Stegostoma tigrinum: one gene and its partners. The protein of the gene in region 1 interacts with the protein of each later gene in a biochemical or structural test. Links are inferred from orthologs where the notes say so. Each region holds a gene or a part of one and is shown on either strand. Other genes may lie near its edges.

Region 1 (3,752 bases):
ATGGAGTTTATCTCCAAAATTCCCTGCCTAAGTTTTCCGGCAGTCTTTCAAAATCCTCATCACAATTTTCAACATTCTTCTGTATCATGTCATCAATAAATTTGCACTGTGATTGCTTCATGTCCTAAGTGCTGCTTGCTTACATACATTGCAATACTTTCAATACAGAGCCCTGTGGAATATCATTCACCAAATGGTGTGCCTGAGAAACTTAACTTTACCTGTACTGTCTTCGGCAGTCTAACACACTTTTTTCATGTGTGTGGTTTAATTCCCCTCAATGTCATATTGTTACAAATCGTATTGTATTTTGTTGAAAATCTTAAAATCCATATAAATCATATACACAGTATTTCCTTTAATTTTTATGCAAAGTATTATTGAACACTAGTCAAATACAACCTGCTATTTAAAAATCTATAAAACTACATTGGTGAACTATCCAAGTGGTCCTGATTCATTCCTTTTTTTCCTCTTAGCTTTCTTACTTCTCCAATATTTCCTATGTTGCCGATATACATTGAAAAAAAAAATTGACAATCACCTATGGCCACCCCACAAGAACATTATTTGCATCCTCAATACAGATAATCACATTCCTGTAATTTCTCAAAATTAAGTTTAAGTAACTTTTATTAATATGATTTATTTTTGCAAAGGTTGCCTGAACATATATGTTATAGTACTGAACAGGTCATTGTTCTGAAAAACAACTTTTAGAACAAACATTTAAAGCTTAGAATTATGAAAAGTACTTTGTTATTTATATAAATGAGTGGATCAAGCTGAACATTTGGACTAGGGAATTCAGTAAATAGAAAATGTCATATTTGGAATTAATAATCTTAGATTTATTGTCACTCTTCTATAGCATTGCCATCCACATAATTTCATACATGATAGACAGTCTATTCAATGTACAGGATAATGTCATGAATACATGTCTTGATGTTAATTCACCATTATCCATTCTTAGAACTCCTGGTCAACCCGTTAATGAATATGTGACTTTATCCAGTGTCCATTGATTACAATTATTCCATAGAAATTAACATTATTTTCATTCTGCAACATATTAGAAAGAAAACAATGGCTTTGCACCCAGGCTAAAATAAATTATGTTTCAAGGATATTGTGAAAACAATTGCTGGTCATTAGAACAAATATTCATCACATGACATTTGTGCAGAAAATAAATCAAGACTTTAGTTTTGCAACCTCACAAGGATTTTGGTTCAATACATAGTTTTATTTACTTCAAAGGTGTTCTCATCACTCACTCCTACAATACTGACATCATCTAAGAATTCTTGTCTGCAATGTTGTCATATATCGTTTATGTACTGCAAAGTTGTGGCAATTTTAAAATAGTTAACAGACCTGTTAGTTTGGAAGATAGAAGAAAATATTTTCTCCTAACTTCTCAACACTCTAATAAAATTTCTTTAGGCATAAAACGGTACAAAGACAGATCTTCCAAAATAGGATATTTAACAGTACCTGTTCGGACCACAGCTTCTAACTTTATATTTGTACATTTTTGATTATTTCACCTATTGCCCTTTATCAGACTCGAGGGAACGCAATTTCCATGTCAGACATAACTTTCAAAAACGGTTATTTACGCATTACAAGTGAAAAATACATGCAGCTTTAATACGAAACTGGTAGTTAACATTATTGGAAGATTACTGTACCTTGTTTGACACACTTCAAACGAATTGGGTCCTTACAATGCTTGATCACAGCCAATACATCTCTAATAGTGAGCCCTGACACTGCTGTGTCATTGACTTCCAATAACAACTCATCAGTATGCAGTTTTCCATCCTCGTAGTTAATTTTGTTGTGTTTCATTTCTCCCAGATACGAAAACAAACCATTCTCTGCGCCACCTTTGATCTCCACATTCAGTTCCCCATCCTTATCTCTACATATCACAGTTTCATGGACTTTACTTGTCCAGTGACTTTTCTTTTTTAATACCTTGGACATCGTTCCGGTAAGCAGCTTGCAGATCAACGTTTCAAAGAGGAAATCGTGTGACAACGCGGGCTGATGCAAAACTAGATCCCAAGCCCGGCAGAGTTGTCAGAACAGCCCGGAGCCTTGGAGGTGACGGCGGAATACGCAACTTTCCTTGACATTTCCATGGAGCCCGGTTAAATGATGATGATGGCAGAAGCGAAGAATGAAAAGGAGGCCTCAACAATTAGCAAGTTTCTTTCAAAATACCCACTCGTCACAAATACACAGGACGATAATGTATTTACCCCCTGCGCCGTCGTTCTCTGCAAACACGCATTTCAATCTCTTCACGGGGTAAACAGCTGACACCGGCTGGGAATGACGGCGGGGATCCTCCCTCATCTCTTACAAAATTTCCAGATGGAAGAGGGAAAAAAAGAACAAATGTCGGTGCAAGGCCAGCCCAGGGAAGCCCTGTCTGTGTGTATATGTATGTAGTTGTTTATCCCCGGATTTAACAGTCTTCACAGACATTCAATCCCATCCACACAAAACTGAATCTGCTCCCAAGTTGCACCAACTTCATTCACGCTCACGCTGCAGCCTCACTCCAATCGCCGCCGACAACCCAGAAGCGCACGCGCAGCTTTCCGTCGAGACCGTTAAACGGCTGCGGCCGAAGGTACTGGAAAGGTCGGTGTGGCCTCGCGCGATTTCGGATGCTGTAGCGTTAATAGTAATATTAGGTCTGCCGATTCGATTGTTTTACTTCTTTGGGTCAAATCAGCTGTTTAGATGCTTCCGCCTGTCTCTAACGCATGAAGAGTCAGTGATATTTTATTGGAATTACACGATTTGATTTTATCTGCGGCCTCCCCCCCTTTATTATTGCTGTTAGTCACGTAATATAACCACATGCAGAATTTCCTGCCGAATCTCCGCTCCAGACCGCTCGATTGGTGCGAAAGGGGAAACCGCTGACTTAGTATTCTGTACGCGCTGTGTTTTTCTGGAACTTTTGTGCCATTGTACTATTACCTCAGTCTAAATGACTTAGAAAGGAATGTGACCTTCAGTTACCTGGAAATGCTGCGAATGTTTTTCCAGAGAGGTCGAGATTGAGAAGCTACTTAAAATAAAATTGTTCAACTTTATGAAAAGTCTTTATTAAATAGATAGTAAGAAACTCTTTAAACCGATAGAAGAATTTCTGACCAGAGATTTAAACACGTTTAGGACGATTGGCAAAACGTTGAGGTGATTTCATTTAGTGCAGCCTAATTATAGTTTGGAATCTGTAGAGTCGCGGAAACCAGTTTCAGTACCAAGTTGGATTTTTACTTGAAACTTTTTTTAATAAAAAAAGGGAGTTCGAGGGAATGGGAGAGGATGTAATTGAATAGGTGTTTCAAAAAGTTGCCCCAAACATGTAACCTACTGTTTGTATGATTCTATGAAACTGCAAAATATACTATCAAAGCTTTGGCATATTAGGACTGACTAAATATAGAAATAACACTAACATATTGGAAGTGATCTACAATTTTTGACTTAATAGGCTTGCAAATTACTAAAATGAATGTGTAATTATTTGGAGTCTACAAACTAATTTGAATAATGTTATTGATGTACTGAAGAATCCTTACCGGTAGAAACCTTGTTTATTCATCCTTGCCATGCATGGCCCATGCGTTTGATCAACATATCAAGTATTTCCAATGTTGGTGGGTCCCTGCTGAATTTTTTTTGCAATGTTTTATCTAATTGGATTTTATATTCTACAT
Region 2 (3,752 bases), on another chromosome or scaffold:
ATGCTTCATTTTCGAAAGCTTACCCGGAGTTTTATGTTTACTTGGTTCTATCCATACTAAGATGCGCTGTAAAATATTCACCAATGTTAACAACGTGCCGCACATAATCTTCGTACTGAGAAATACCAACTTTCCACACTTAGGAAAGTGCAGGTGAAGTTGGTCCTGTGTGGAATTTAAATTAATTAAATAAGTAACTGACCCCTATTCATTCAACTTTTCTACTGGTCAACTCTGAGGTTGCGTGTCGCTTTGTCTATTTTTAAATATATAAAATGCGATTTGTTTAATATAAACAATGGTTGATATAAATAGATCTGTACACAATCTGTACAGCTGGAGGTAGTGTTATTCAAAACACAGTCTTACAGTGAGAGAGAGCGGTTTCACGAAATTGGCAGCAACACCTGGATCCATGTCTTGCTCCGAATGTCCACTCCTATACGAGGCGTCGGTCACTGACAGATCATTGACCAGCTGTTAGAAAATCTGAAATATTTTGTTTTAGACGGTGGACCTTTGTTTATTCAAATTGTTTTAAAATGAAACTTGTGGTTTCTCTTTAACATAATCCAAAACGTTGAAAATAATAACACAATGACCTTAACGACCCGTTATTTTGGGGACACGGCGATTGTTCATGTAACCGAGAGCTCCTCTTTAATCCACGTTGGAAATTGCCTCTGACCATGGAATGTGATTTAAGCGGGACACACCATTCTTGTTGCAAAACGGTGGGCTGCTGTTTCGTCCGATGAAAGTCAGCGCATCCTGGCAAAGCGTGTCCGCTGCTACAGTCTAGGATCGCTCCGAATCCAAACCTTAGTGTTAATCTACGTTGGCCTTCCGTTCTCCAGAATTGCGGGGAACGATCGCTTGCGGCAGGAATCCACCGCGGAGTTGGTCTGTGCTGGGTTTCAATGCCTGTTTCCTACAATACTGAGTGGGTGTGGGACCGCTCGCCCGCACTCACTGCTCTGTCTTCAACGCTTTTTTTTGTCTTCTCCACGGAACCTGAACGTTTCTGTCTGAGAAGCTGGACTTGCTGCCCGCACTCCACCCGCGCTAGAACTGGGACTCCTGGTCGTCAGGGTTCTCGCCCATGTGCCTGTCCAAACCGCCCCCGTTCGGCTCCTGGCTCCTGTTCCATTCTGACCATGTCTCCAGGCTCCTCGGGTCCAGAGTGTTGCCGAACACGCCCGAACACCGGGAGAACTCCCCGGAGCCCGTGCACAGCCTGTTACTGTCTGTCTGGCCGGGGCAGAACAGTAACCTCTTAAAGGCGGCTCGGAAGTCTGGACTCTTGCAGTAAATGATGGGGTTGAAAGCTGAGTTGACATAGCCGAGCCAGTTGAAAAACAGAAAGAGTTTGCCGGGCACGATGTCAGTCCGGAAAGCCTTCGCCACATTGGCTAGAAAAAAGGGTAACCAGCACAGGGTGAATGTTCCCATAATAATCCCCAGAGTCTTCAACGCCTTGTGGTCCTTAATGGCTATAATCTTGGAGGGTCTCCTGCGAGCTGACCTGCCGTTTGGGATGAAGTGACTGGTATAAAACCTGCCCTCGCACTTATCAATCTTCTTCATTTGCTTCTTGGCTTCTTGAAAGACGCGGGCGTAGACGAAGATCATGATGACTAAAGGCAGGTAGAAGGAGATGATGGAGGAAGCCAAGGCGTAGGCTTTATTCGTGACAAAGTCACAGCAACAGGGGTCATTGTAACAGCGGATGGCGTCGGGTTGGTCATCCCTCCACCAGTGCATCATGATGGGCAGCAGGGAGATGAGGCCAGAGATGAGCCAGACCACACACACGATGGCCCGGGCTCGGGCTTTCGTCAGTAAGCTCTGGTAGCGGAACGGGGAAGTGATCGCCACGTAGCGGTCGATGGCGATCACACACAAAGTTTCGATGCTCGCCGTCACACACAGGACATCGACCGAAGTCCAGATTTCACAGAAAACCGAGCCGTACAACCAGTTACCTCGCACGACCAAGGTCGCCCCGAAAGGCACCACCAACAAGCCCATAATCAGATCTGCACAGGCCAGAGACACAATAAAAACATTGGTTAGCGTCTGCAGCCGCTGGTTCCTGGCGATGGCAAAAACCACCAAGAGGTTTCCGAGGACAATGATCAGGACGATGCTGGCCATTACTGTGCCCATCCCTATCACCCACTGCTCAGAGAACTCTTGCTGAGGCACGTGTGGACTTACCCCGTTTGCAGGATTAACAAAGAGGATGGTGCTGGATTTGTTAGTGTGACAATCCTCAGAGGACAGGCGGTCTCCCATTGTGTAGAGTGCCGCTGACCGAGCCAGGAGATCACGTCGCTTTCATCGGAGATTGTCCCCGCAGATGCTGTGTGTGGTGCTGTCCTCCTTCATCCTCTGGCTGTGGCGGCACCAACAACCTGTAGCTGGGGGGTCAGAGCAGCACAGCGCCCTCCCCTTTCACGTCGCACACAGAGTTCCTCCAATGAGCCTCTTCCTGACGCCACATCTCCAACTTCCATTTAGAGAGCATTAACTTCAATGAGGGTGCCCTGAGTGCAAGTTAAGGGAGAGAGGAAAAAGATAACTTTTTTCCCCCAATCAGTTATCTCTGGTATATATTTTAAAGCAGCTTCTGAAATCCTGGCGAAAATACCTGAACTTTACAGAAACACGAGACTGGACTAATCACAATGTTCATTTCCAAACGTTTACCCCACTGGGTCTTTCCTTTTTTATTTAGTTTTGAATTCACGTGGATTAATGTGCTGACAACCACTCGGGGAGTGACGGTAAGTCCCTGTAAATATTTTTGGGGGGCCAGGAATAGACTGTGCTGCTAGCTCGAATTTCAGTAGCAGTGGAAGAGGTCCCGCCCAGTTCCATATCAGAACTGTTTGAGAAGATTATCTGCAGTTCAGAGAACGTACACCCTGCTGTGGATTTAGAACTCGGAATGGATCCTGAGGTCGCTGACTGTTCACAAGTTGCTAGTCCCTCATTCTGCTTTCTCACTCAAACTAAAACTACACTTCAGACCTTAAGCCATTTAACAGGAGGATTATCTTATCACAAGAAAGTAAATAACCAAAAGGAATTAGGTCCACGAAGCCCATTCTATTCAATATACCATGTTCAATTTACACTTTTATGTACATTTTTATTTAAGTATCTAATAAAATGTTAATAGAATTCCCGAAACTTTATAAAACTATGAAACTTACTTTAAACCCTGAGAATGAACAAGTGAAAGATTATTTTCTTATTGATAGCGTCCGATTTTCAACCCTGACCAATCGTATACCGCAAAATGCATTTCTGTGACAGAGACCACATCACTTATTCCTGAGAGTGACAGAATCAATCAGAACTGAAGGGGTCTATTGGAGTCTGTGCCAGGTCTTTAAAAGAACTGGACTGGTATTCCTCAGCGTTCGTCAACTTTTACTACTGAAGTATTCATCCAGTTTTTTTAAAGTGGTTGTTTGACATTGCATTAAACATTTTTGATGGCTTATTCTGTTGAAAGGGACAATATCTTCTGTTCCTCTGACTTACCCTGCAACCCTGCCAATTCTGCATTCGTACTCTCATTCTCTAATTACTTCAAATACGTAATTCACTTACATCTTTGCTATTAATCTTTTGATGGGGGCAAGTATGCTTCCAATATTTTTGGAATGAGAACTAATTTAGTTCTGGTTCTTTGCTTTTGGCGTGTTTAGATTTCCAGAAAGAAATGCTATATTGCCCTT
Region 3 (3,752 bases), on another chromosome or scaffold:
AGTATTTCACAAAAAGAAGCAAATGCAAGATGAGAAATAATCTCTTTCACACTACTTGGAAGTGTGGCTAAGGTAAGTACAGTCAAGGCATTCAAAAAGACATTGTTTCTATTTTAAACAATCATGCAGAGTTGTGGAGGAAAGACAGGAGAAGGGCAAAAAGTTGAAATGCTCTGAGACATGATGAGCCAAATGGTCTCATTTGCACTATAACATACTGTGATTCTGTGACGGACAGCTACTAAAGAAGAAGGGATATCTGACAGACAAAGCTTAGGTCATAAGATATGAGAAGAGACACATGACAAAAAGACAAGTTAGCATCAGACAGACTATCATTTGAGGGAGATGTCAGACACAAGATGTATAGGCAGAGAATTAAACAACATCGGGGAGACAGGCATAACTGGATGGCTAGACAAGAGACAGACTTCAGACAAAATACACAACAAAAAATGCTAATTTTTTTTAAAAAATCTATAAAAAGGAAAGGAAATAACCATAAATGTAAGAGAGCTGTAAAGGTAGAGGGTGTAAAACACAGAAAGAAAGCTATAAACATGAGGAAAGGAGCAGAGAAAGTAAAAGACATTGCTGTGATACAGTGACTTGGAAAAGAGACTGGATGCATTTTCCATGTGTCAGCAACTGGGCAACTCTATGGGGACTCTATGTAAAATGCAACACAGTGATGAGCTGGAGAATAAATATAGCAGGGAAGATCGTATTGCCGAGGACTAGAAAAAAACAAGAAGAAGCTACTTCAATTCCAGCTGAGCAAGAGTTGGAAGGGTAGCTCAAACAGAAATGCCGGCACGCAGAAGCTCCAGTTCAAATGGAGAAATGGTGTCTGCACTGACAGCTTCCAAACAGGGGAACTCTATCTCCGAACAAATCGGGGTGAAACACTCTGTCAAATACAAATACAAGGGTAAATTTACATCCAACGCGCTCTCATCTTCTGCTGGGTTAAACCAACTGCTGCAAATTAAATGAAACATAATGATTACTGAAAGGTATCTATATCTGACCATCCTGAGCTGCTGTTGAGATATATATAATTATTCTCTGTGATATTCCATAAATCACTGGTTTATTCTGTTTCGCTCGAGCAACATTCGCTCAGTTGGCTCGATCTCCAATCTCTCTAGATTCGATCAGTTTGTGGACGCACTTCAGCTTTTGTTTTGTAATCAGAACGTAAAGAATCGTTTCTGTTTTGAACTAGAACAAGAAATAAACAGTACAGTGCCTCAGGGAGAGGACAGGGACTAATTCTCAGATCCCGTTCTGAGGAAGGGTCAGTGGCCCCGAAACATTAACTCTGATTCCTCTCCACAGATGCTGCCAGACCTGCTGAGATTTTCAAACAATTTCTGTTTTTGTCTCCTGCCCAGCAAGTTCACCGCTCCCATATCCAGAACATCACCGCACCTCGCTCCCAGCTGCAGAAAATTCCAGCTTCCATACGTCTCCCTCAACGCTGTATCAGATTCCTAGCTATTGCTTTTCAAATTGTAACAATAAATGAAAAGTCGGTCTTACCCTCAGCTTTCAGGAGTTGCACAAAAGCAGCTACTGCACGGAGTCTCTGACCTGGTCAGAGATAATCAGTTTGTCCTGCTCTCTTCGTCCTCCTCCTTCATTCCCAGGGCAGCAGGAACCGCTTCAAACAAGCAGAAAGATCGCCTTCCCGGATTGCAGGAGAACTCCCACTGTTCTCGGCGTCGCCACGCGGCTCTGTCACTAAAGTGTCCCCGAAAATGGTCCAGATTCTCTCTGATCTGAATGCGATCTGTCTCTCCGTCTCTGTCCCTCTTCCTTTGTCTCTGTCACTCTCTCAAAGCCTCTGACTCAGTCTCTCTCCATTTCTGGCACACACTGTCTGTGCGTCTCTCTCAATCTCTGACTCTCTGTCTCTGACTCCCCCTCTCTCAGTCTGTGACTCCCGCTCTCTCAGTCTCTGTCCCCCCTCTCTCTCTGACTCCCTCTCTCTGTCTCTGTCCCTCTCTCTCAAGCTCTGTCTCCCCCCTCTCTCTCTCTGTCCTTCTCAATCTCTGTCCCCCCTCTCTGTCCCTGTCCCCCTCTCTCTCAACCTTTGACTTCGTCTCTCTGTCTCTGTCCCTCGCTCTCAGTCTCTGACTTCCTCTCTCTGTCTCTGTCCCTCCCTTTCAATCTCTGTCCCTGTCCCTGTCTCTGTCCCTCTCTCTCAATCTCTGTCCCTCTCTCTCTCAATCTCTGACTCACGCTCTCTGTCTCTGTCCCTCTCTCTCAATCTCTGACTCCCTCTCTCTGTCCCTCTCTCTCAGTCTCTGACTCCCCCTCTCTCAGTCTCTGTCCCTCTCTCTCAATCTCTGTTCCTCTCTCTCTGTCTCTCTCCTCGTCTCTCAATGTCTGTCCCTCTCTCTGAGTCTCTGTACCCACTCTCGGCCTCTGACTCCCTCTCTCTGTCTCTGTCCGCCTCTCTGTCCCCCTCTCCCTCGGTCTCTGACTCCCTCTCTCTCGGTCTCTGACTCCCTCTCTCAATCTCTCTCCACCTCTCTAAATCTCTGACCCTCTCTCGGTCTCTGTCCCCCTTCTCTCGGTCTCTGTCCCCCCGCCTCTCGGTTTCTGTCCGCCCCCTCTCGGTTTCTGTCCCCCCTCTCTCGGTTTCTGTCCCCCTTCTCTCGGTCTCTGTCCCCCCCTCTCTCGGTCTCTGTCCCCCCCTCTCTCGGTCTCTGTCTTCCCTTCTCTCGGTTTCTGTCCCCCCTTCTCTCGGTTTCTGTCCCCCCTTCTCTCGGTCTCTGTTCCCCCCTTCTCTCGGTTTCTGTCCCCCCTTCTCTCGGTCTCTGTCTCCCCTTCTCTCGGTTTCTGTCCCCCCTTCTCTCGGTCTCTGTCCCTCTCTCTGTCTTTGTTCCTCTCTATCTCTGACTACTCCCTCTCTGTCTTTGACCCCTCTCTCTGTTTCTGACTCTCACACAGTCTCTGTCCCTCTCTGACTGACCCTCACTGCGCTTCTCCCCGACTCTGTCCCTCTCTGCTCTGATTCTCACTCAATCTTTCTCCGTTGCGGCCCCCCTTCTCTTACCCTCTTTGTATCTCTCTCCGCCTCTGCCCACCCCCGCCTTCGTCTATCACTGACCATACTCTGTAGCTTCCTGCCCTGACCACCCCTCTCCGTCTCTCTCCCTCTTTCCCTCCGGCTCTGTGTCTGACCGTCACTCTGTATGCCTCTCTGTCCCTCTCCTCCTCCCTCATTCGCCCAATCGCTCCGGTGCACTGGATCAATCAGAATTTGCTCGGTCTTGTGCGAAATTCAGAGCGAGCGACCCCTCCCGATTCCGGGGCGGGGGGTGGGACTGGGACTGTGGTGCTAACAGCCGGCTGCGGTAAGAGGCTGTTGTCCGGGGACACCGGGGAGCTTTTTCAACTTTCACTTTGGTAACTCATGTCACATCCAGTCACGGAGTTTATTCCGTGTGAAAAGCAAACTTTGTCATTTCATCTGATTTCTTTATCAAATTGGATCCCTTTTGAGCGCGGGCCATTGATCAGAGCAAACCGCAGTAGCTCGCTCTAAGTTATCACATTCCTGAGTTTCTCTTTTAGGTTACCGTTAACTCTCTCGGTCTAAAATCAAACAATCCTTGTTTCCATACAATTGAAGTCCTTCAAATAAATGTCACGGTGCAGAAAGATGCCATTCGGCCCAACTTGTCCCTGTTGGTTTTCTGGCTATTTTAATGTATTGTCGCTCTCCCACTTTTCTCCAT

What was found.
Region 2: the proteins of membrane-associated guanylate kinase, WW and PDZ domain-containing protein 2 (region 1) and adrb1 interact in a test that uses a peptide from one of them, tested with the Homo sapiens proteins (4 studies listed by IntAct, with this or other methods). The link is inferred for Stegostoma tigrinum from reciprocal best matches to the Homo sapiens genes MAGI2 and ADRB1.
Region 3: the proteins of membrane-associated guanylate kinase, WW and PDZ domain-containing protein 2 (region 1) and corticotropin-releasing factor receptor 1-like form a complex in vitro, tested with the Homo sapiens proteins (2 studies listed by BioGRID and IntAct, with this or other methods). The link is inferred for Stegostoma tigrinum from reciprocal best matches to the Homo sapiens genes MAGI2 and CRHR1.

What each region holds. Positions count from the first base shown.
Region 1 is NC_081378.1:25,514,864-25,518,615, forward strand, and holds the start of membrane-associated guanylate kinase, WW and PDZ domain-containing protein 2, read right to left. Parts: upstream 2,888-3,752; 5' UTR 1,996-2,887; coding exon 1,698-1,995; intron 1-1,697. UniProt on the Homo sapiens protein: Seems to act as a scaffold molecule at synaptic junctions by assembling neurotransmitter receptors and cell adhesion proteins. Plays a role in nerve growth factor (NGF)-induced recruitment of RAPGEF2 to late endosomes and neurite outgrowth.
Region 2 is NC_081373.1:23,476,371-23,480,122, forward strand, and holds the start of adrb1 (beta-1 adrenergic receptor), read right to left. Parts: upstream 2,770-3,752; 5' UTR 2,299-2,769; coding exon 1,066-2,298; 3' UTR 1-1,065. UniProt on the Homo sapiens protein: Beta-adrenergic receptors mediate the catecholamine-induced activation of adenylate cyclase through the action of G proteins. This receptor binds epinephrine and norepinephrine with approximately equal affinity.
Region 3 is NC_081384.1:41,196,750-41,200,501, reverse strand, and holds the start of corticotropin-releasing factor receptor 1-like, read right to left. Parts: upstream 2,561-3,752; 5' UTR 1,546-2,560; intron 1-1,545.